Linked DNA regions of Medicago truncatula. The main gene of each other region encodes a partner of the protein of the gene in region 3 in a complex. Links are inferred from orthologs where the notes say so. Each region holds a gene or a part of one and is shown on either strand. Other genes may lie near its edges.

What was found. The genes of interacting proteins can lie anywhere in the genome.
Region 1: 50S ribosomal protein L1, chloroplastic (region 3) and 50S ribosomal protein L5, chloroplastic share a complex: the UniProt entries of both Arabidopsis thaliana proteins name them as parts of the 50S ribosomal subunit. The link is inferred for Medicago truncatula from reciprocal best matches to the Arabidopsis thaliana genes EMB3126 and AT4G01310.
Region 2: 50S ribosomal protein L1, chloroplastic (region 3) and 50S ribosomal protein L10, chloroplastic share a complex: the UniProt entries of both Arabidopsis thaliana proteins name them as parts of the 50S ribosomal subunit. The link is inferred for Medicago truncatula from reciprocal best matches to the Arabidopsis thaliana genes EMB3126 and EMB3136.

Annotation. Positions count from the first base shown.
Region 1 is NC_053048.1:36,603,917-36,611,378, forward strand, and holds 50S ribosomal protein L5, chloroplastic, read right to left. Parts: upstream 3,016-7,462; 5' UTR 2,906-3,015; coding exon 2,648-2,905; intron 1,765-2,647; coding exon 1,564-1,764; intron 636-1,563; coding exon 288-635; 3' UTR 54-287; downstream 1-53. Other genes in the region: uncharacterized protein, read left to right, coding at 6,824-6,885, 6,991-7,089, 7,249-7,451. UniProt on the Arabidopsis thaliana protein: Binds 5S rRNA, forms part of the central protuberance of the 50S subunit.
Region 2 is NC_053045.1:63,050,812-63,056,883, reverse strand, and holds 50S ribosomal protein L10, chloroplastic, read right to left. Parts: upstream 1,561-6,072; 5' UTR 1,492-1,560; coding exon 787-1,491; 3' UTR 516-786; downstream 1-515. UniProt on the Arabidopsis thaliana protein: This protein binds directly to 23S ribosomal RNA.
Region 3 is NC_053045.1:15,688,097-15,695,948, reverse strand, and holds the start of 50S ribosomal protein L1, chloroplastic, read right to left. Parts: upstream 3,033-7,852; 5' UTR 2,934-3,032; coding exon 2,562-2,933; intron 416-2,561; coding exon 236-415; intron 133-235; coding exon 78-132; intron 1-77. UniProt on the Arabidopsis thaliana protein: This protein binds directly to 23S ribosomal RNA.

The DNA of each region.
Region 1 (7,462 bases), on a different chromosome or scaffold from region 3:
TGAAAATTGAAGAAAAATGAAGAGAAATGAACCTAAAATATTAATAGTCCAACTAGCCAAATAATTTAGAAAACAATAGAAATCAGAAAGCAAGCAAGATCTGCATGATCATCATACAACCATATAATAACGTGATTGATGGCAACATGAAAACATCCACATCTTTTACAAAAAGAATCAATAATATTACATTACATCTGAACGAAACAAGGGGTACAACACAATCTATCTTCTGATTACAACCTTAGTTCATTATTATCTCTGATCTTGCATGAATAAAAATGAGTTTACTTCTTTGCTCTGTCTCCTCTACCCTTTGATTTTGGATCAAAATGATGAGATTTCAACTTCTTTTTGCGAACTATTTGGGTAACTTCAACTCCCTCTCTGAAGGGCATACCCATGAGAGCCAATAATTTTTGTCCTTCTTGATCAGTTTTAGCAGTTGTTGAGATGCAGATATCCATTCCTCTAGGTGTACCAATACCAGATTTCAGCTCTGGGAACACAGTTTGGTCCTTAATACCAATGTTGTAATTTCCATTCCCGTCAAAGCTGCTGATATTCACACCTTGAAAATCTCTTGTCCTAGGAAGTCCTAAGTTGATAACACGGTCTAGGAATGAGTACATTATCTGTCAAAATATCAACCAATAGGTATTAGATTTTGGGTTCAGCTATATAAAAACAAAGAAAGTTGCAAAGCATGTATAATATATTTGTATGGTTTTAAAATACAGGCCGTGACCGCGGGTGTGGACGCAAGATCAAGGTTTTTCATGTGATGTCTCCACAACCATGTTTGACCTCAATTTTCTACAGTCTCAAAGATCACAAAGAAACCACAGCCGCTAACAGATATTTAAAATCTTGTGTTAGAATATGAGCCTAAAGTAATGCAAAATACTATAATTTGAAGAAGTTCAAAATGAAACCAGATTCACATACATTGCCATGTATAATCTTTTTTTTTTTGGCAACATGGAAACTCTATCAATGTCTCATTCAGTAAATTCCTGGTATGCACTCTTTTTAAACACAAATTGTTGAAAAACACATACACAGAAGAAAAAAATCCAAACTAACTAAACTTTTGACTTCTGAAGTACCGTTCTCATGATAAAAGAGAATAATTTTACACGCTTTGTTTTGGTATGTGGAAAATAATGCTTCGTATGTAAACATATTCTATTACAAAAATAATATTTGATTACTGGAATGCATATATTATGTCAACAAAGAATATTCCCAACTCCAAAAACTTTACATGTGATCCAAAGATGCATTATACTAGACAAGTTAACAAACAGTAGCCACATGTCTCGGAGTGGTGTCCTTGAAGCACCTCAGCGCTTATCAGAGTTCATTACACCAATGCATCTAACTATACCAGCAAATTAACTAGAATCTAACAATATCATTATTCATGATACCGACATTGTTCTAAATACAAAATAGCATCAAAAATGGGAAAATGTCAAGCAATTAAACTAAATAATGATCTCATGTTTACAAAATATATTCACTAGGCAAGGCAATATCAATTGAATACGAAGTACTCACTTTTCCTCTGAGTGTCACAGCAATCCCAAGTGGTTGACCTTCCCTGATCTTGAAGGTGGCAACGGAATTCCTCGCCCGAGTCTTAACAGGTCTCTGCCCAGTGATCAGTGCTAGATCAAGTATTGCTGCATCCAAACCTTTTGCATTTTGTGCAGCTTCTCCAATACCACAGTTTACCACAATCTTCTTAACTTTAGGCACCTGAAAAGAGGGAAAAACAATATTCAGCATTGCAAAATTTGATAGATAAAATAATCTTAGAGTAAATACTCAAGTTGGTACTCGAAATTAAAGGGTTCTACTAATGTTCTATCAATTTAGTCTTCATATTATTAATATTCTTAAATGATCTTTAGAATTGCAATATGTTGAACAAATCCATCCCTCTCTATAGACATGTTATCAAACGTATCTCTGACCTTATTCACTTAATTTCAAATTCATCCCCGATTTATCAACTTAATGTCATTCTAGTCCCTACAAATACCAACGGAGAGAAAAAATTGATTAAACTTTGCATTTTCAAAAATTCATTTTGGAATATCTATAATATGAGGGACTTAATTGATACAGTTAAAATTGATTCTAGAGGTGTAGAATCAATTCTGACATGTTTTGCTTTCGCCTGCCAAATTGATTCTACTTAAAGAGAGGATTCGTGGCTTTTAATTCTAGAATTGATTACACACAGACTTATATAGTTCAACTCACTTACACGAATCTATCCAAACACAAATCACTTTACCTTCAACCCATTTTAGTCAAAATCAATCACTCAAAACCAAGTCTTGTCAACACAGAACCAAACATACACTTAATGCCAATCAACGGAGGGACACATTTGATTAAAATTTGCATTTTCAAATATCATTTTGGAATATCCATAATAATGTGAGGGACTAAATTGATACATGCAGTTATAATTTCATTCTAAATCCAAATATCTAAAAAAAACCATCACACCAAAACCAAAAAAGACTCAAACTTTAACCCACAAACCCAACAAAAACACAAAATCAAACAATTTAAACAAATACCCATTACAAAAAAAAAAAAAAAAGGTCCAAATTTCAGAAAAACCAACCTGATGAATATTAGTGTAAGAGAATTCTTCCATAAGCAAAGGAACAATTTTGTCATTGTAAGTTGTTTTGAGTCTATAAACAGTCTCTGCTTCAGATTTCTCAACCAAAACAGCACCAGAAGCATCAGCTTTCACAGACACCACTCTGTTGTTTCCATGACATAACAACGAAGAGGAAGAAAATTGAGTTGGTAAAGCTCGAAATTGAGAGAGAAAGGAAGAGGCAGAAGAGTGTAGAAGAGAAGGGGTTGTAGCCATTGTTGTGGATTGAGCAATGCTCGCTACGAGAGGGATATGGATAGCGTTGGTTGGTTAAAGTACTGTGTTACAAAGTGCCCTTGTGTTTGAGGGTAAATTTTTTGGCAAAGTGAGTGGGACAAGAATGGATAAGGGGTTGAAAATAAAACTGTAAATGCTCAAAAGGAAGAAAGAAAAAAAAATTGCTTGGAATTTGGAACCAACAAAAACCTTAGAAATCAAAACTATAAAAAATGTATTTTTATAGATAAATGATAGCATATATTTTCAATAAAGTAACTTATTTCAGGACAGAGGTAATATTTTAAGATAGTACATCTCTTTGTGATGAGATAGAAAGGATGATGAACTCCTTTCATTAGGGATTTAGAAAGAATGGGTGGTGTGACATTAATTGGTTGTGATGGGATAAGCTCACTCTTCACAAAAGTTTAGGAGGTCTAGGCTTCCAGAACGTATAAGCTTTTAACTTTTCTATTTTTGGTAAGCAAAGTTAAAAACTCTTATCCGAGTCAACCTCTTTACCATCAAGGATCTTGGAAGCTAAATATTTTTCGAGAAGGGATTTTTTGGATGCCAACCTAGGTCATAATCCAAGTTATACAAGGAGCAATATATGGAGTACAAAACCTTTACTTACCTTGGGCCATAGATGGACGATTAGTGATGATTCTCAAATTAATGTGTGGAGTATGCCTTGGATTCACAACCTTCCTACTCGCAAATCGATTAGCTTGCAATTAGTGCACCATGAGGATGTTACCGTTAATTATTTGTTGAATCCGGGTGAAATTCTTCGGACATTCCTTTGGTACAGTCAATGTTCAACCCTTCAGATGTTGCATCAATCCTTTCCATGTCTTCCTTCACTTGTGAATATGTTGTCAAGCTCATATGGAAGGCTACTACTGATGGTTCATACACACGTTAAACCCGCTTATCGCATATTTTTCGAACTTATCACCGCTACCTTTACTACTACAGGTGAAAATTGTTGGAACTCTATATGGAAAGTGTAAATTCCACCGCGTGTCTGTGCCTTTCTATGGTGTTCAACACAACATTGCTTGCCCACTCGAGCAAACCTCATTTTCCGTGGAATTCCTTGTGAAGACTCATGTGTATCATGCGATCAATTGACAGAAAGTCAAATGCACATTTTCTTTGTTTGTCTAAAAGCGATCAGTTGTTAGGAGTTTATCGATGTCCACCACATCATCCAAGATTTACTCCTTAATTTCAACAACTTTGCATTTATGTTATTTGATTTAATTGAGAGGTTGTCTCCACATCAGAAAGCTCATGTTGTAATTACCCTTTGGAGCTTGTGGAAAGGTCGTAATGTTTAGCTTTAGGAATCCATGGATAACTCTCTCTTTATATATAAACACTAGTGCAAAGGGCACACTAAATGAATGGAGTTGTATGCAAAAAACAAAGGCACCGATACACAATACAAATTATGAGTTTAGGGTTGAAAATTCAAAGTTGAGGAAATTACTGAATCGTGACTAAGTGACTTAGTGGTAGAACCCACTATCTATTTTATGTGTCTATCTCTCTCCAAATTGTGTATTCCAATATAGTAACAAAATTATCAATGATCGACAAACATATATGAATAATTCCTTAAAAAAAACATGAATGAATAAAATGAGTTATAATCATCTTTCATTTCACATATAATTAGTTGTCCTATTATATATCTGAATTGTCATGTAGTTTTTATTTTATTTTTAGAGAGAATAGTTTTATATAGTTCTAAATAGTGAGTACTTATAATGACTTTTAAAATAATGGTAAGGAATTTGAAGAAATAAGCAAACTTTAACTAGTCGGTTCTAATTTTTTAAGAGACAAACTCCGACTTCTTTGTAAGTTTTATTTCTCCATCACTCAAGAGAGGGAGGTGGTTTTGGGTTATTTTTTGGCCTAAAAATCACCCTTATGAATCTTTTTTTCTTCCTTATCTTAATCTAAATAAGTGGTTTTTACATAGATTTCATTTTTTCTTTTTGTGTTTTTCTCGTGATTTCGTTGTCTCAATGCGGCGTTGTGTTGTTTGTCGTCTTGTGCGGTATTGCTTGATTTTTTGTCTTTGTGGTGTTCGATTGATTCTTAGTGAAAGATCGACATCAATCAGTTACAAATTCAATATGATTTGGATGTCAACATTAGTGATATAGAGACATGAGTATTTCATATTTTATCATATTATTTGTAGGTATTTTTTCATTGTACGTAATCAACTTGAATGTTGTGAGTTTGTTCATAGATTTATCATTTACGTTTTTAACGATGTGAAATATGTAGTTGCATTTGACGTACTTTGTTAATTTGAATGAATACATATCATTTTGTTATAAAAAAGTGACTTTCGCAATGTCACACCATGCTTATGCACTCAAGCATATTTTCCTCAATTTAGCAACTTTTATAAAACTCAATTCTTTTATTTTTTTTTCCTCAACTTTGAATTTGATGATACAGTAATTTATTTAAGTTATTTCAACCATTACTTTGGTATCCACACTACTACATCACGATTCCTCCGATGAAGAAAGAGAAAAAAATAAAAAAATGTTCATCATTCTATGAAACACGTAAATACCTCAATTGGAGATGCTTTAAGTGATTAATTCTGAGTAAAAAAGAGAATAACGATTAATTTTTATATATCCAATATAAAGAGAATATCAAATAGTTTTTCTCCTAAAAAAAATATTTAAATAAATTTATTAATCTAACGCCTACACAAATATGACCACTATATTAATAAGAAAAATCAAAAGAGTTGAAAGTATTATCCGAATTAAATGATGATAATTAAATCATTAAAGATACATACACGAAATAAAATATAATCGAACATTATAACGTGTATGTAAATAGAAGATGTTTCAATTCAAAATAAAGACGATCTTATATTCAAAAGAATTTTATATATAAAGATATCAATTGCGTTTGAACTCAAAACCTAATAAGAAAAACTTAAAATTTATTTTTTAAAAAGAAACTTAAAATGTAGTAATTGTTATCTTCTTACTGTTAGATCAAAATTAAGAATTAAGATTTAGATAAATACGAATTTTTAATCTAATCTAACTTACAAATTATTTAAAACCATAGGTTACATTGCTACTTGCTCTAGATAATAATAAGTCCATAATAGCAACAATCTCTCTCTACTTTCTCTCTCTTCAAATCCCTTCTCGCTCACTCCCTCGTCCTCAATCCCGATCCATCTCTGCAAAATCACCCCCAAATTCTCGATTTCACGCTTTTCCCTTCATTGATTCTCTCTTTAACCTTCGATCCGCATCGTTAATCTTTACAATTTCAAAACCCTAGTTTTCTTTCCTTTTTCAATTTTGTATTTTTATCGCACAAACCCTCAATATTTGTCATCCCTTAGATTTTTCTCGGACCTAAATTTCATGGGTATTCCACAAGTTTTTGAATTGAATCTCTATTTCCTTTGAATCTGTGTTCTAGGACGGTTTTGTGTATATACCAATCTTTACGTTTCATTCGGGAATTTCATTGAAGGAGAGAGTAGTTTTTTCAATTTTTTTGGTGGTGGTTATTGCTAGATTTTCGTAAAGGTTGAAGCTTTAGAGGGTTTTGGATGATGGGTCTTGTTGATTGAGCTGGATCAGTGACTGGGATTGGTTCTAGGTTTTGAAATTTTCATACAAGTGCTTTTAGAATTGAATTATGAATAAGCAGTGATTGTTGGACTTAGAGTTGAAGTTGGTCAAAATTTCAAAATTTGAGCATATGTTATGAATTATATGTTTGATGCTGACTAGGGCTCTTTAAGGATTGCAGTAACACTCGGCATTGTTCATCGATTTGATATATTTGACATTGGTTAACAACTTTGTTTAGCATCAAGTATTGTGTGGAGGGAACGCAATGGATTTTGAAAACGAAGATCAGAGCTTGTTGGATCAAGCAACTGATAGTGGATTGCAAAAGTAACCTTCTATCTTGTTTGATTAGCTTGTTGTATTTATTTTTTACAATGTTTTAATTTGAAATTTGATGCATGTTATAACACCTATTTGTTGGTGGTTGTTCAGGAAGTTGAAAATTTCATACACAAGAGAGTTTTTGCTATCGTTTAGTGGATTGGATATTTGCAAAGAGTTTCCAAGTGGGTTTGATCGGTCACTTTTAAGGTATAGTATGCTATATCGGTGGACCGCTGCATTTAATTTTTCCTTATTATATATATATATATATATATATATATATATATATATATATATATATATATATATATAGTCAATTTATGCTCTTTCACTTATGTGTTATGCCTTTTTTTGTATGGAAAACAGTGAATTTGAAGACGCTTCACTGGATAGACAGAGAAGTACCGGTGCTCTGTCAACACATAGTTTCAGACGTAATGAATACAGTTCATCCCCTCCAACCAGAGGGGATATGAATAACTTTTCGCGGGGAACCCATGGAAAATGGGATTCTCGCTCTTCTGGACGTTCAGATAGAGACGGTGATTCTCAATCAGAATGGGATTCAGGTGTTTACGTT
Region 2 (6,072 bases), about 47 Mb from region 3:
TAAAATGACATAGTCATTGCAGTAAGTCAAGAAGTTCAATTGAATGAAGATTAAGCCATGAAACTCACAGTTTCAGTTGATTTTCCAATCCAACTTACCGCACTAAATATTAATCCAATTGAGTGAATGTGTGGTATTGTTACATAAGGTAATACATGTTAAGAGTTCTACGTTGGATAAAATATGACCGAAAAGTTGGTTTTGTAAGGCTTAAGTTAATCCCAACCCAAATTCTGAGACTCGGTATAAATGACAAACACTTCAAGTTGAACGAAGTCTCCAAAATATAACACTCAAATAAACAAAGGGAAAAAACACAACATCAAAATGGTACATGCACATAATAACCAATAATTAGTGAAATTGCATCATTCAATGGGAACAAAATTATCCATCAATCATCTCTACACTAACAGAAAAAAATATTGAACCATTCGACAATTTCTGATACAACAAGCTCAAAGCATCAAATGCACAGTTGTACACATAATCTGAAGGAACATAAACAAACATACTCAAATACAATAACCAATAATTAGTGAAATTGCATCATTCAATTGGAACAAATTATCCATCATCAGTATCCTAAGAGAAAAAATAATTGCATCATTCTACATTTTCTGATACAACAAGCTCAAAGCATCAAATGTACACTTGTATTGTACACATAATCTGAGGGAACATAAACATAAATAAACATGCTCAAATACAATAAAACAAAATCCACATTGTAACATAATTATAAAATCATAAAACAAATACACAAACAAGATTGAAAAAACTTATCTATAGAACAGCACTACCCTGTTCCTGTTCTTCAAGCTTCTTAATATGTGCCTTAAGAACCATAATAAGTTCTCTAGCAGGAGCTTGAATGGTAGTAACCAAAGCAGAAGAAGGACTTTTCAATGAACCCAACAAATTAGCATAAATCTCGCCACGTGTCGGCAATGTTTCAAGTTTCTTAAACTCATCAGGACCATAAAATTTCCCTTCAAAAACAGCACCAGTAAAATCATTTTCTTCAAGCTTCTTCTCTTTCTGAAAATCTCTATAAGGCTTAATAGCAGAGGGAATCTCTTCAGTATGAACAAACAACCACACATTCATACCTGTCATACATGGCTTCAACGTCTCCCATTGTGTTCCTTCAAGTGCTTTATAAACCAACGTGTTCTTCGCAACAACGAGTTTCGTTGTTTCAGGAAGAGTTTTTCGAAGTTCTTGAAATTGTTTTACGGTGAAGCCTTTGTAGTTGATTCCGGCGAGGAGGTAACAGTTTTCAAGTTGTTCTTTTACGGTTTCAACTGTTTCTTCTTTCTTTGTGCGTGAAATTGCGGCGTTGATGGATAAACGGTGGGTTTTGGAAATGGGTCTATGTTTGTATGATGTGGGTGGGTTGAATGGGTTAATGGGTCGGGTTAGGATTTGAAAAGATTGGGTTTTGGTGGATGGAAGAGAGAAGCTGAGTAGAGTTGCAGTAGCTTCCATGGTGATGATGGAAATGGAAGATGAAGAAAACTGAAAATGGGATAAAAGGGTTGGTTTGATTCATATTGGCTTATCTTATCCCTTTGTTTCTTTGGTTTTTCATCAATCACAATGGGGGCAATATGGTACTTTGCAATGGGTTTCAAATTTATTTTATTTTTTCAACTTTACTTATTTTTTAAATACTTGTATTAACTACTCAATAATATTAATTACTACCTCCGTCCCTAATTATAAGACCGTTTTGAAAGAAAAAAAAATTGTCCCTTTTTATAAGACTCATTTTCTATTTCCAACTACATTAATTATTTCTTTACATACATGCCCTTATTTATTATACATTTTTTTTCAATCAACAATAAATAACATGTTGAAAACATAAATCAACACTCTCTTAAAAGATAAAATTGTAAAAATAATAGTAATTACAAACATATTTAATAAAAATATTCACTCTCTTAATTCCCGTTATTTTTTTAAAAGGGTCCTATAATTAGGGACGGAGGTAGTATTCAATAACTTGTCTTCGTGACCTAAGCTTAGTTGGTATGGATTTATTTTTTAAATACTTTAGAAGTCTATTAACTATTCAATAATTTATTTTCGTGATCTTAGCTCGGTTGGTATGAACAATGCATAATATATGCAAGATCTAGGATTCAAAACCCGGCCACCAAAAAAAAAAAAACTATTCAATAATTTTGAAATTGGTTTCTAAACTAAATAAAATTATAATTAGGTTAATAAATTAGTAAATAATTTATAGTTAGATTTATGAACAAGGTTTTAGTTGAGTACTTAATTTTTTAAAAGGAAATGTTAACTTATGCTCTTGAGACATAAGTTTAGAAACTAAACATAGAAATATTTTCTTGAAAATTGTGCATTCAATGTATAAAAATCTTAAATTTTATCTTTTCAATACAAAAGTTATATTTTAATTCTCTTTTTAGCTTTTTAACTTGTATCCTTAAGACACGAAGAGTTAGCATGACTCTTTTCTAAATAATGTGTAATTGAGCTTGTATATTTTAAAATAATTTGTGCAAAGGTCTCTAAACTTGTTGGTAATTGTGAATTTTATTATAAATTATTAGAGTTTAAGAATCATTTGTAGACTTATTGCATTTTTGTTATGTGTATTTCACCAAAATTGCAATTATGCTTGACTTAGTCTAGTTAATTGTGATTGTAATTATTTAGCAGAATTTGAGTTTGATTTTTAGTTGTAATAATTTTCGATCATATTTTACTTACCTCTGGTCGAACTATATTTGAATGACTCGTTTTTCCTTAAAACGAGATGTTAACACCAAAAACATTAATAATTACATTAACAGATTTTTAATCCTCAAAGAAAATGACTAATTAATTGAACGTATTTCCAACAAGTTTTTTTTTTTTAAGGAAATGTTTGTAGTATTTCATTAGATTTTAATTCACAAATACACAGTGCCAAGGCATGAGCGATTTGATTGGTTTTTCTCCGACTAAACTCGACAAGAGAGTTTTTAAAAGCAAAATTACAATGATGTCTACATTCATACATGATTTTATCAAACTCAGTAATAACATTGCTTCCTTTCTGTAAATAATTCATCACCTTCATTGAGTCAAGAATAAAATCCATGTTATGAGAAACAACAACAAGGCTGTGAGGAACGATCCTGGTTCAGTTAATGTGCAGGCACGTGATGAGAAACAACGTTTAGCTGTGAGTATTCAGGAACAGGCGAAGAAAGTGCAGGTGAACCAGAATGTTGTTTCTTTCTATTTTACAAATATTCCTCTTGATATATCATATGTTTCATTGAGACAAGGTTTTGAGGTATGTGGTATATTGGAGGATGTTTACTTGGCACGTAAACGTAATGTTAATGGTGGTGCGTTTGGTTTTGTTCGTTATGGCAAAGTGAAGGATGTAGAGAAGCTCTTGAAGGCTTTGAACAATGTCTGGTTTGGAGATTGGAAGGTGGTGGCTAAGGTGGCGAGTTTTGGTAGGAATGGAGGTGGTAGGGGTGAAGGCAGTGTTAGGGGAGAGGGAGAAAAAATTAATGAGGGAGATAAAGAATTAGAGGGAGAAAAAAGAGAGCTGGGGGGAAGGAAGGTTGTTGACGGAGAGGCTCAAGGTGAAGGGAGGAGTAAGGGGCTTGAGGGAGATGTAGCTGCGAGAGGAGGGGTGGTTAGTAGAGAAGAAGCTGAGGCAAGGGTGGAGAAGAGGGTGAATGTGAGAGAACCGGTTGGTGCGAAGGTGGTTGTGGGAGAGGCTGCGAAGATCCACATTCCTAAATATACCTCCAAGGATCAGGATGTTTTATGGGCTAGTAGGGGATGGTTGCTACGGTTTTGAATGGAGATGCGATCCCTGTGTTGCAGCGACGTATTTTTGATGCGGGCTTTGAGAATTTAGACATAATTCCTTTGGGAGCTGATAAGGTCTTATTGAGAACTGAAGATGATAGTGATGTTAACTTATTGTTGGCTGAAGCATCGGAATTTTTTGCAAATTTTTTTTCTAATATTATGAACTGGAGGAAAGATATGGTGGTTCGCGAAAGAGGAGCTTGGGTGAGGATCTATGGGGTGCCGTTACAAGCGTGGAACTTGGATTTTTTCAAACTTTGTGTCTTTGACTATGGTCGTTTGTTGAAATTGGATGATTCCACTCTGGAAAAAATCCGGTTTGATTATGCTCGGGTTCTTATTTCTACGCCTTCTGTGGATTTAGTTATTTCAGATGCAAAGGTGATGATAGATGGAGCTATTTATGAACTTAAAATTGTGGAGGAGGGAGGGTTTTCGTTGGGTGAAGATGCTTGCTTATCGGAGGATGAGGAGGTTAAAGAAGAGGAGGATATGGAGGATGAGAGAAATATTGGGGATTTACATGTTGATGGTGAGGTTGATAATTTGATGAAGCATCTATCAGAGGAATGGCAGAAGGAGCAGCAGGACCTTCAGGTTCATAAGGTTATTCCTATTAACGATTTTCCTTCACTTGTTGAGAGTCCGGTGGTGGGTACTAAAGAGGTGTCGAAGGGTGTTACGGAGGTTTCCTCTCAAAATCCTTGCGCAGCTCAAACAGTTCCTTTACAACAAGCTAACAACAAGGTTGTTTTGGAGGATGATATCGCACGAGCTGATTTGGATCGAATTTCTTGTAGTGGTGCTAAGAGGAAGAAGCATCGTACGTCTTCATGTCATGTCCTCCTAGTCGGGTCCATACTGTATCGGCAGGTCCGTGGAGTTGGGAATGGGCACGTCAACATAAGGAGTTGGTGATTGGAGATGCAGCACCTGTTGAAATTTTAGACTTTAACAAACAGACTTCTAGTGCTATTAAAGTCACGAGAAAGAAGGGTAATAGTTCTTTTCGGCACTGTGCAATGAATTTGAAGCGTATTGCGAGGTTATCAGAGGAAGACCGTAAGGTTGTTTTGCGTGCCTTGCGCAAGAAGAAAAGGAGACATAAGGTGGTGTCAGATACTCATGTTAATAAGGTAAATTCGCCGGTTAGCTCTTCTGTTAATGATTCACAGTCATCTGTTAATTACGACTGGTCGAGTTGGTTAGTACTTCATGGTAATAGCAAGGCTTTATCGGATGATGTTAGGGGGATGGGAAAGTTAGTGGGGGTGAATTTTCAAGGGGATATTCAAAATAGGTTTGATGTGTTGTCAGGTGTTGGAAGAAAAAATAAAGAGGTTGATGGTGGAGAGAGGTAAGGCCGAGGGTTGGGATGAGGAGGTAAGGGTGTTTGTGGTGTTGTGGAGTGGGTAGTGTTAATGAAGATTATTCCTTGGAATGTTAGGGGCTTGGGTGGGTTTGAAAAGAGAAGGGAAGTGAGTAACTTGGTGAGGGAGAAAAATCCGTTTATCTTATGTTTACAAGAATCTAAATTATCTGTTGTAAATGATTTTGTGTGTAAAGGCCTATGGACTGATAACCGTGTTGATTTTTCTTATCAACCTTCGAGTGGGGCTTCAGGAGGTTTAATAACTCTTTGGAATTGTGAAGAGGTTGTGGTGTGGTCTTCGTTTAATTTTGATCATGTGTTAGGAATTCAAGGCCAGTTTGTGAAGACGGGTGACAAGTTTACTATTCTAAATGTGTATGCCCCGTGTGATGTTAACCGACAACAATCTCTTTGGCAAAATATTTCAGCTCGTTTGACGTCGCTGTTGGACGAGAATGTTTGTGTGTGTGGAGACTTTAATGCGGTTCGATGTCCCGAGGAACGAAGAAGAGTGGGCAACGCTGTGAACTATGCTGGTAGTGCAAGTTTTAATGCTATGATTGATGATAACGGCCTTATAGATTTACCGCTTCGGGGTCGTAGGTTCACTTGGTATCGAGGTGATGGGAGGTCGATGAGTCAGATTGATAGGTTCTTGCTGTCAGAAAATTGGAGTTTGTCGTGGCCTAATTGTTTTCAGATGGCTACGTCGAGAGGTTTGTCAGATCATTGTCCTCTCATGTTGTGTGTTGATGATGCAAATTGGGGGCCAAAACCGGTTCGTATGTTAAAATGTTGGGAGAAATTCACTGGTTATAAATCTTTTGTTTGTGAGACCTGGAATT
Region 3 (7,852 bases):
AAGAAAATGTTTTTTAAGCATGATCAGAACACTTTTAATTAACTAGAAGTGTAAATGCGAATCGAAAGCATAATCACCTTGAGTAAGAACGGCTATTTTTATGGGTTTTCCAGTTCCCTTCGGCAGACTTACCTATTAAGAGAAGATGGATGAAAGACTCGGAATTAGCAGATGTATTGTATAGTTTTCAATGTGCATGTATATACTAGAATCAAACGAATGGCAGGAGACTCACTGTAGCTCTTAACTGTTGATCATTATATTTAGGGTCAATGTTGAGGCGGAAATGGGCTTCTACTGTTTCTACAAACTTGGTTTTAGCTGTTTCTTTTACCAAAGAAATTGCTGTCTTCAAGTCATATTCTTTCTTAAACTCCCTCAATTTTTGAATTTCCAAGAATCTCTTAGATCTCACCTGGTGAAACATGGAAAGTGAAAACAACAATTATTCATAAAATAAATGGGAAACATTTTCCAAACATGAAAAATTCAATGATCCAAACAATCAACTTGATCTTAGAAAGAAACAAATGGCTATCTTATAACATTTACACCATCGCTATCCAAGTAGGCAATCAAATATGCTGGAACATAAAGACCAACCAAGCAAAAATACTGCATATAATGGTAGGACAAATAGCACAGTAACTACTGTTTATATGCATCTCTCACCTTCACTCATGCTAAATTTCAGAAGATATTGGAAGCTAAATGAAGTTATATAGAACAATTTATTTCCACCAAAAAGAAAGTCTGGCTATAAATATGGCTCAACTAAAAGTAAATGAGTATGTAACCGTGTATATTTTATGAAATTATTTATATCCTCTGAAGCTCCTATAACATAAATACGTGAACAGTGAGTTTTTATTTTTCTTCATCACCACTTTTTAGGAGTTCTCACCTACATAAGATGTTAGTCACTAAGCAAGTTTATTTTAAAATATCATTCTATTACAGTTATTCAACAGATGGAGCAGCTTGTGCTAACCAAATGAGCAATGAGCACAAAACATGAAATTAAGATATACAGTTATGTATTCATCCATTTGTAGTCATTAGCTACTGAAGAGGATTGTCCAACAATTTCTCACTATCTTATATCATTCTATTATTTCTTAAAGCTTGTTTGTAATGTTACAAGATGGCGATACATGATTAACTTCCCAGGTAAAACTACAGTTATTTCCTGTTTACGTGAAAATTCTTAGGTACAACTACGGTTATTTCATGTTTACGTGAAAAATGATATAGACAATTGCCAAAATATAGCACCCATAATTAGCATCAACTAATAGTCCAATACCCACAACACAGCTACAAGGTTAGGTATAAGTGGTAAATGTCCTCCATCTAAAGCTACTGACTCAATTGATACCCTCACCAGTGATATAACAATTTGTGGATAGAGTTCCCTCACCTCTTGGCTGAACACATCCTAGATAATATGTGTGAAAACCATAGTCACGTGATTTTTAATTCTCTTTGGTACGTGGTACGGGTATACGGTTGCTGCCTACCATGTATTGGTTACATTGGGGGGTATAATCGGTACATTTGGGTTCAGTATAAAATGCTGCTACTACTTTTGTTTACTTCTTTTATCAAATTAATAGTTATAAATTGCCTGCCGTAAAATATGGTGACTGCATATCTTTATAGTCTTTCAAATAATATCACAACAACAAGCATACAATTTCTTCAACTATCCTTCAGAACAATTTTTCCAAGTCTCCCACGTGAACGATGAACCCCTTCATCTTCCTAAATTCACTGGTTCTAAAAGAATTTCCAATCATTCCACTGCCGATCGCAATGAGAAAAGAGATTCAACACATCTTCCTTTGACTCTTCTACTGTCATAAACACTCACTGTCTTTTGTCTTACTTTAAACTGGATCCGGATTCAGTGACTTTAAGGCCGGTAATTCAAGGTGACTTCGGTGTAATTGTGTGTTATGAGAGAAAGTTAATAGATAAGTCACTGAATCCGGATCTCTTTAAACCATATAAGATAACTCAGTTCTACGCTTTTAACAAATTATCTAGAAAATTGGTGAAAACCAATTCACCAAAGTAAAACAAATTGGTATTCAAATACCAATTTTTTGTTCGTAATTGTAGTACAATCTCTATAGCACCCATACTTCTGATTGACGGCGTGACTGATACTCCCTCCGGTCCTTATTATAAGAAAGGATTGACTTTTTAGGTTCATTATGTAAGTGATGTATCTAGTCTATATTTACAACAAGATACATTAATTACTCAATGAATCTAAAAAATCAAAAGTTTCTTATAATAAGGACCGGAGGGAGTATCCGACACGTGCCACTGTCTAACACTGAACTTACATTAGTTAAATTCTATGTCGACGTGTCAATATCGTGTCAGATGTTCGTGGCTACGCTTCTTATGGTCATAGCCACCAACACAATTAATTCCCTTAATAAATAAATACTAATAATACACTAATAATCCACAAAACCAGAACCCCAATTGTAGTTAATAAAATTCAACAAAAACCCATCAAGAAAACAATAGAATTTGAAGAAGATTACCCTATCACTCTTGAGAAGTAATGCAGCTTTCCCTTTCTTAGGCTTAGTAGTAACAACAGTCACAGTTTCAGCAACATCATCAACGTCATCTTTCTCATCTTCATCAACAGTTTCAGCAACATCAGCGGCGACAGCGGAAGAAAGTAAAATCGAAGACCTGGACTGGTAGGTTAGATTAACCGACTTAGAAGGCTTCAAAACGAGGGGAGAGAGAAAGAAGGTTCTGGGAAAAGAACGGAGAGAAGAAGGAGAAAGATCTTGGGGGGTGAGAATAGAAGAAGAGGGGTGTGTTAGCATAAGAGATGATGATGAAGTTGTTGTTGTACATGAAGCCATGTTTGGGAAGAGAGTGTGGTGGTGAAAGCAGGACATTTAGGTGGTTATCTATTCGTTTTGCGATGGTGATATGAAAATGAAATGAATTTTGAGGAGATAAGAATGTGATGTGCCCTATCGTCTTACAAATGCCGCGTGATTTCTTCTCTTCTTCTTTCTTTTTGGCATATACTAATACTTATTTTTCATTTTTTATTATTACAAAAAAAAAAAACAATTTTTTATTGTATTATTGCACTAATAAATTAAGTTTTAATTCGTCTCGTCAACTTAACTCAGTTCATAGGGACAAATATATAATATATGCAGAAGCTGGACTTTGAATCTCATACACCGCACTCCTTCACATTTATAATATGTGAACTTCAACCACTACACAACTAGACAAAAAAAATCGAGGTTTAATTCCAAAGTTTTGATGTAGTGGTGAAAAAATAAAAATAAATGCTATTATCCTTCAAGAAAAATTATGCTATTAGAAATTTAGGGCGTGTAAATGATGCTCATTGTTCTAGTAAGAGAGTGTGTATATTCTAATTTATTTTTAACTTTTTTTATTGAAAGCCCATTTTAGTTTTTCAAAAATTCACGAGACTTAATTTAGTCATGTGAAAAATAATTTGTATTTATAATTTGGTTTTTTCTATCTTTCTTTCATACCAAATTATTAACAATATCTTCTTGGATTTATTTTCTTTCTTCTATCATTTTCTTATCAACCAAAACAAAGTGTAAAGAGGTTAAATATTAACTTTGTCCCGATTTAGTTTTTATCAATGACTAAAGTTACTTTTATTTTTCTAAGAAACTAAATTGGATCTTTTGAATTTTCTCAAGGACTAAAATGAACATTCACATTTTATACATAAATTGATTTTTTATGAAAAATAAATTAAGTTTAAAAGAGATTCATAGTTGGAACAAACTAATGTTATTTAATATTTGATATTTATTTTTGTTAAACATTAGTGTAAATTAGTTTACACAGATGGTTGTCCTTGTCCTAAACAAAATTGTGCGGGTGGTTCATATTTTCTTATAAAATTGACAATGCAAATTATGCTTGTGTGGTTCTTATTTAATTTATTTATAATATTGGGTGGATTATTGATGTTGATTATTTTAGTATGACTACAAAATAATGAGGATAAATTTTTTGAGGGAAAAATAATGAGGATAAACTATAACTACAAAATAGACTACCATTGTATAAGTGAATGGTGTTTTGGCTAAATACTATTTTTGTGCAGGCGGATGTGACATGGAGGAGGACATCAATTTTTTTGTCTGGTAGTCTAGTAGTTAGAATTCACCTTATAAGGTGAGTAAATAGTGTGTCCGAGGTTCGAATCCCGATCCATGCATATAATAATGCATTGTTCTACCAACTGAGCAATGCTCACGAGATTCAACTTTATTATTTTTTTTATTTTTGAGTTTTGCAGAAAAATTTGGTTTGATATTTATAATTGAATATGTTTAATTACGATTCATCCGTTTATATCTCGGATCATTTACTTCAATTTGTATGAATTTGTGACTACTAAAAAAATATTTTTTTTGTTCCTTAATTTGATTTGACTTTTCTGTATTTGGATCATTTAGCAAAAAAGAAATTCAAGAGTGTTTAAACAAAATAGGTTTTCTTCATCTTCTAGAGAAAATTAAACTCTAATCTTTATGGTGGCTGAATGCAAATCATCCAACTTTTGCTTCTATCTATCTGTTTACCGGTGTTTTCGGCAAACTACAGGTTAATTCTGATTATTACAAGAAATCTCAGGACATGATGTTCAAAGGTTTTGATCGAAAACGGTTTGAAAAGGCCACAAAATGCACTCAGGTTACTTAGAGAGCAAGACGGATTTTAGAGTAAAAAGGGCACTGTCTTTCGACAGTTTTGAGATTGCAAGTGAAAGCAAGATAAAATTAAAGGAAAGGGTAAAAGTTTAAACACATAAACTTAAAAGAAAATGTAAAATGCATTGCATTAAAAGTAAAATTGTCTACGAATAAGTTTACATACATTATGTATAACTCGTTTTCCTATGCGTCGGTAGTTTTAATGTTGTAGAATTTCTATAAATGATTTGCGACCCATTTTCCGACTAGGAAACTCTTATTTATACATAAAGAAAATAACTGGCAAAAGACTGATCTCATGATCAACACTTCCTCCATCTTGGACAACCTCTTGTCCCCAAGTTTCCACTAAGGAAACCGCCTTTGAGCTTGAAATTGTATCTTTCCCGCCTTGATTGCTTGACTTCGATGCAATTACGCTTTTAGCATTCCTCAGACGAACTCTTGACCATGCGCGTTAGGCTTGCTATTTTGTCGAAATCCTCAAATTAAAATGAAAAAGCCTTCGATTCCTGCAAAGTTAAAAGTCAACTAAATGTTGACCACATTAAATGACCCTGTCGAAATTACAGGCTAACAGGATGCCCCCGAAAAATGCCATTTTCGACGAACCTCATCAAGTAGGAGAATATTGACATTTTTTAATTACACAAGTTACCTTGAAAAGATGACATCATCCCACTCATTAATTACCCTCCAAACATGATTTTCAGTTTCTTTTCCTTTGATCGTTTTAGGATTTAAGTGGGCCACGTCTTTTCACTTGGACAACCTATAAGTCTATTTATTTCCCTAAGGCGCCACTTGTCGTTGATCGAACTCTTCATGTTCTACCCTTCGAAACTCCCTATTTTTACCATCGTTGTTCCTTTCTTCACAAGATTTCCAAGATTTTATGTCTCCCAAGGCCATTAATTATCCACTATCTCAAGGCGTTTTTACCTTCTTTCGTGCACGTTGTAACGCCCTCTTTGAATTATTTGTTTTATTTGATTATTTTATTGAGTTTAGAGTCTTTTTGAATAATTTATTTGATTTATGATAATGTGTGTTATTTTTGTGTTATAGGTTGGTGTTTTAGTAGCATATTATATTATAATATATATTATTTGGTGTAGAGATATTATGTTATTTGTTAGTATAATATATATGTTATTTGGTGTAGAAATATATTATATTATATTATATTATCTAGTGTAGAAATATAATTGTTATAGAAATATATTTGTTATTTGGTGTAGAAGTATTTTATATATATATATATATATATATATATATATATATATATTAAAATAGAATATTGAGACTTTGGGAGCTGATTTGGGAATTTAGAAGAGTTTAAGAGAATAAGTGGAGTTAAGAGAAAATAGGTAGGTTAAGGTTATAAAAAGAGAAAAGTGAGAAGTCAGAATAGTTTTTTCACGTACAACCAGTTTTTGGAGAAAAAGGGAGAAAACCTAGAGAAGAGGAGGAACGAGAAGATAACCTTGCAATCGAATTCTTAAGGTAAGGGTGGGACTAACATTCAATAATCTTGAGTCTATGATTCTGAAAATTGTATTTGAGAATTAGGGTTAAGAGTGATGATTGTGATGATTTTGAATGAAAGTGAAGTTGAATAATATAGGTTGCTTTTTCTGATTTTTCTTTTCATCTCTGCCCCGAATTTGAAATGAAATCTGGTATTGATAGGTCCAGAATTGGTCTTAGGTGTAAACACGAAAGTTGTAGGTATGGATGTTAGCTTTGTAATTCCGTTGGTCTGACGTCAAAACAATTTATAGAACTTGAGTTATGGTCATATTACTGCATGTAGGTCACAGTGAATTTTTATGAATTTCAGCACAACTTTTTCCGAATTTGAAATGAAAACTGGTATTGATTGGTACAGAATTGGTCTTAGGTGTACACATGAAAGTTGTAGGTATGGATGTTAGCTTTCTAATGCCATTGGTTTGACTTGAAAAGGATTTATAGAACTTGAGTTATGGTCAAATTACTGCACGTAGGTCACAGTGAATAATTGAATATGATTGATGAATTAGTATATGTATGTATATGTTTGTGAATACGATATTGTTCATGATTGATGAAGTGTTATATGAATGTATATGTTTATGAGTATGATGTTGTTTATGATTGATGAATTAGTATATGTATGTATATGTTGTGAATACGATATTGTCCATGATTGATGAAGTGTTATATGCATATATGATGTTTTAAGATGTTGATTATTATTTGATGTTGTTATATCTTGAGGTGTTTAAGTGTTGTCTATGTTGCTGTTGTTGGTTATGTGAAATGTTCATATGTCTTATGTGGAGAATATATGATGTTTAAGTTGTTGATGTTTTTCATTAATATTGTCATGTTGTGAATTGCTTGTACTGTTTCTGTTGATGTTGCATATTGATCAAGATGCAGGTGTTGGTCTAAGTTGTAAAGTTGTAAGTTTTCTTTCCAAAGTGTTTCCAAAGTATTGGAGTATTAAGTTGTTAATGTTGTCTAAGTTGTTGATATGGAGTTGCAAATGTTACATATGAAGATTATTAATGATGGTTACTTGTTGTATATGTTTAAATGATGCTGTCTTGCTGTTGTGATGAATATGATTTACTTTGATGATTAATGTGAGAATATTTATATATTGTGAAAGATGTTGATATGAAGTTGTAATGGTTATATTAGATGATTATTGTTGATATTGACTTGCTGTAAATTATTTGATGGTGTTGCCTTGCTGATGTGATATATTAATATCATTAAGATGCTAATGTTGATTTAAGTTGTTTAAGTTGTAAGATGTTGATCCAAATTATTGGAGTAATAAGAGATGTCTAAGTTGTTAAGTTGTTAAGATGTTGAGTCCATTGCATACTCATTTACGTTGGGTGAGGGCTTGATGCTCTGTGAGCCTATTTACGCTCAATATGTTGGGGGTTTGATGCCCTGGTTGGTACCACATGCATGATTAAGAAGTTGAAGTTGCGTTGTCGTTAAGTTGTCATTTGTCAATGAGTTGTTAATAAAGAACTAAGTGAAGTATTAATATTTATTAATCGTTGTTGTTTAAGTTATTATGAGATGAT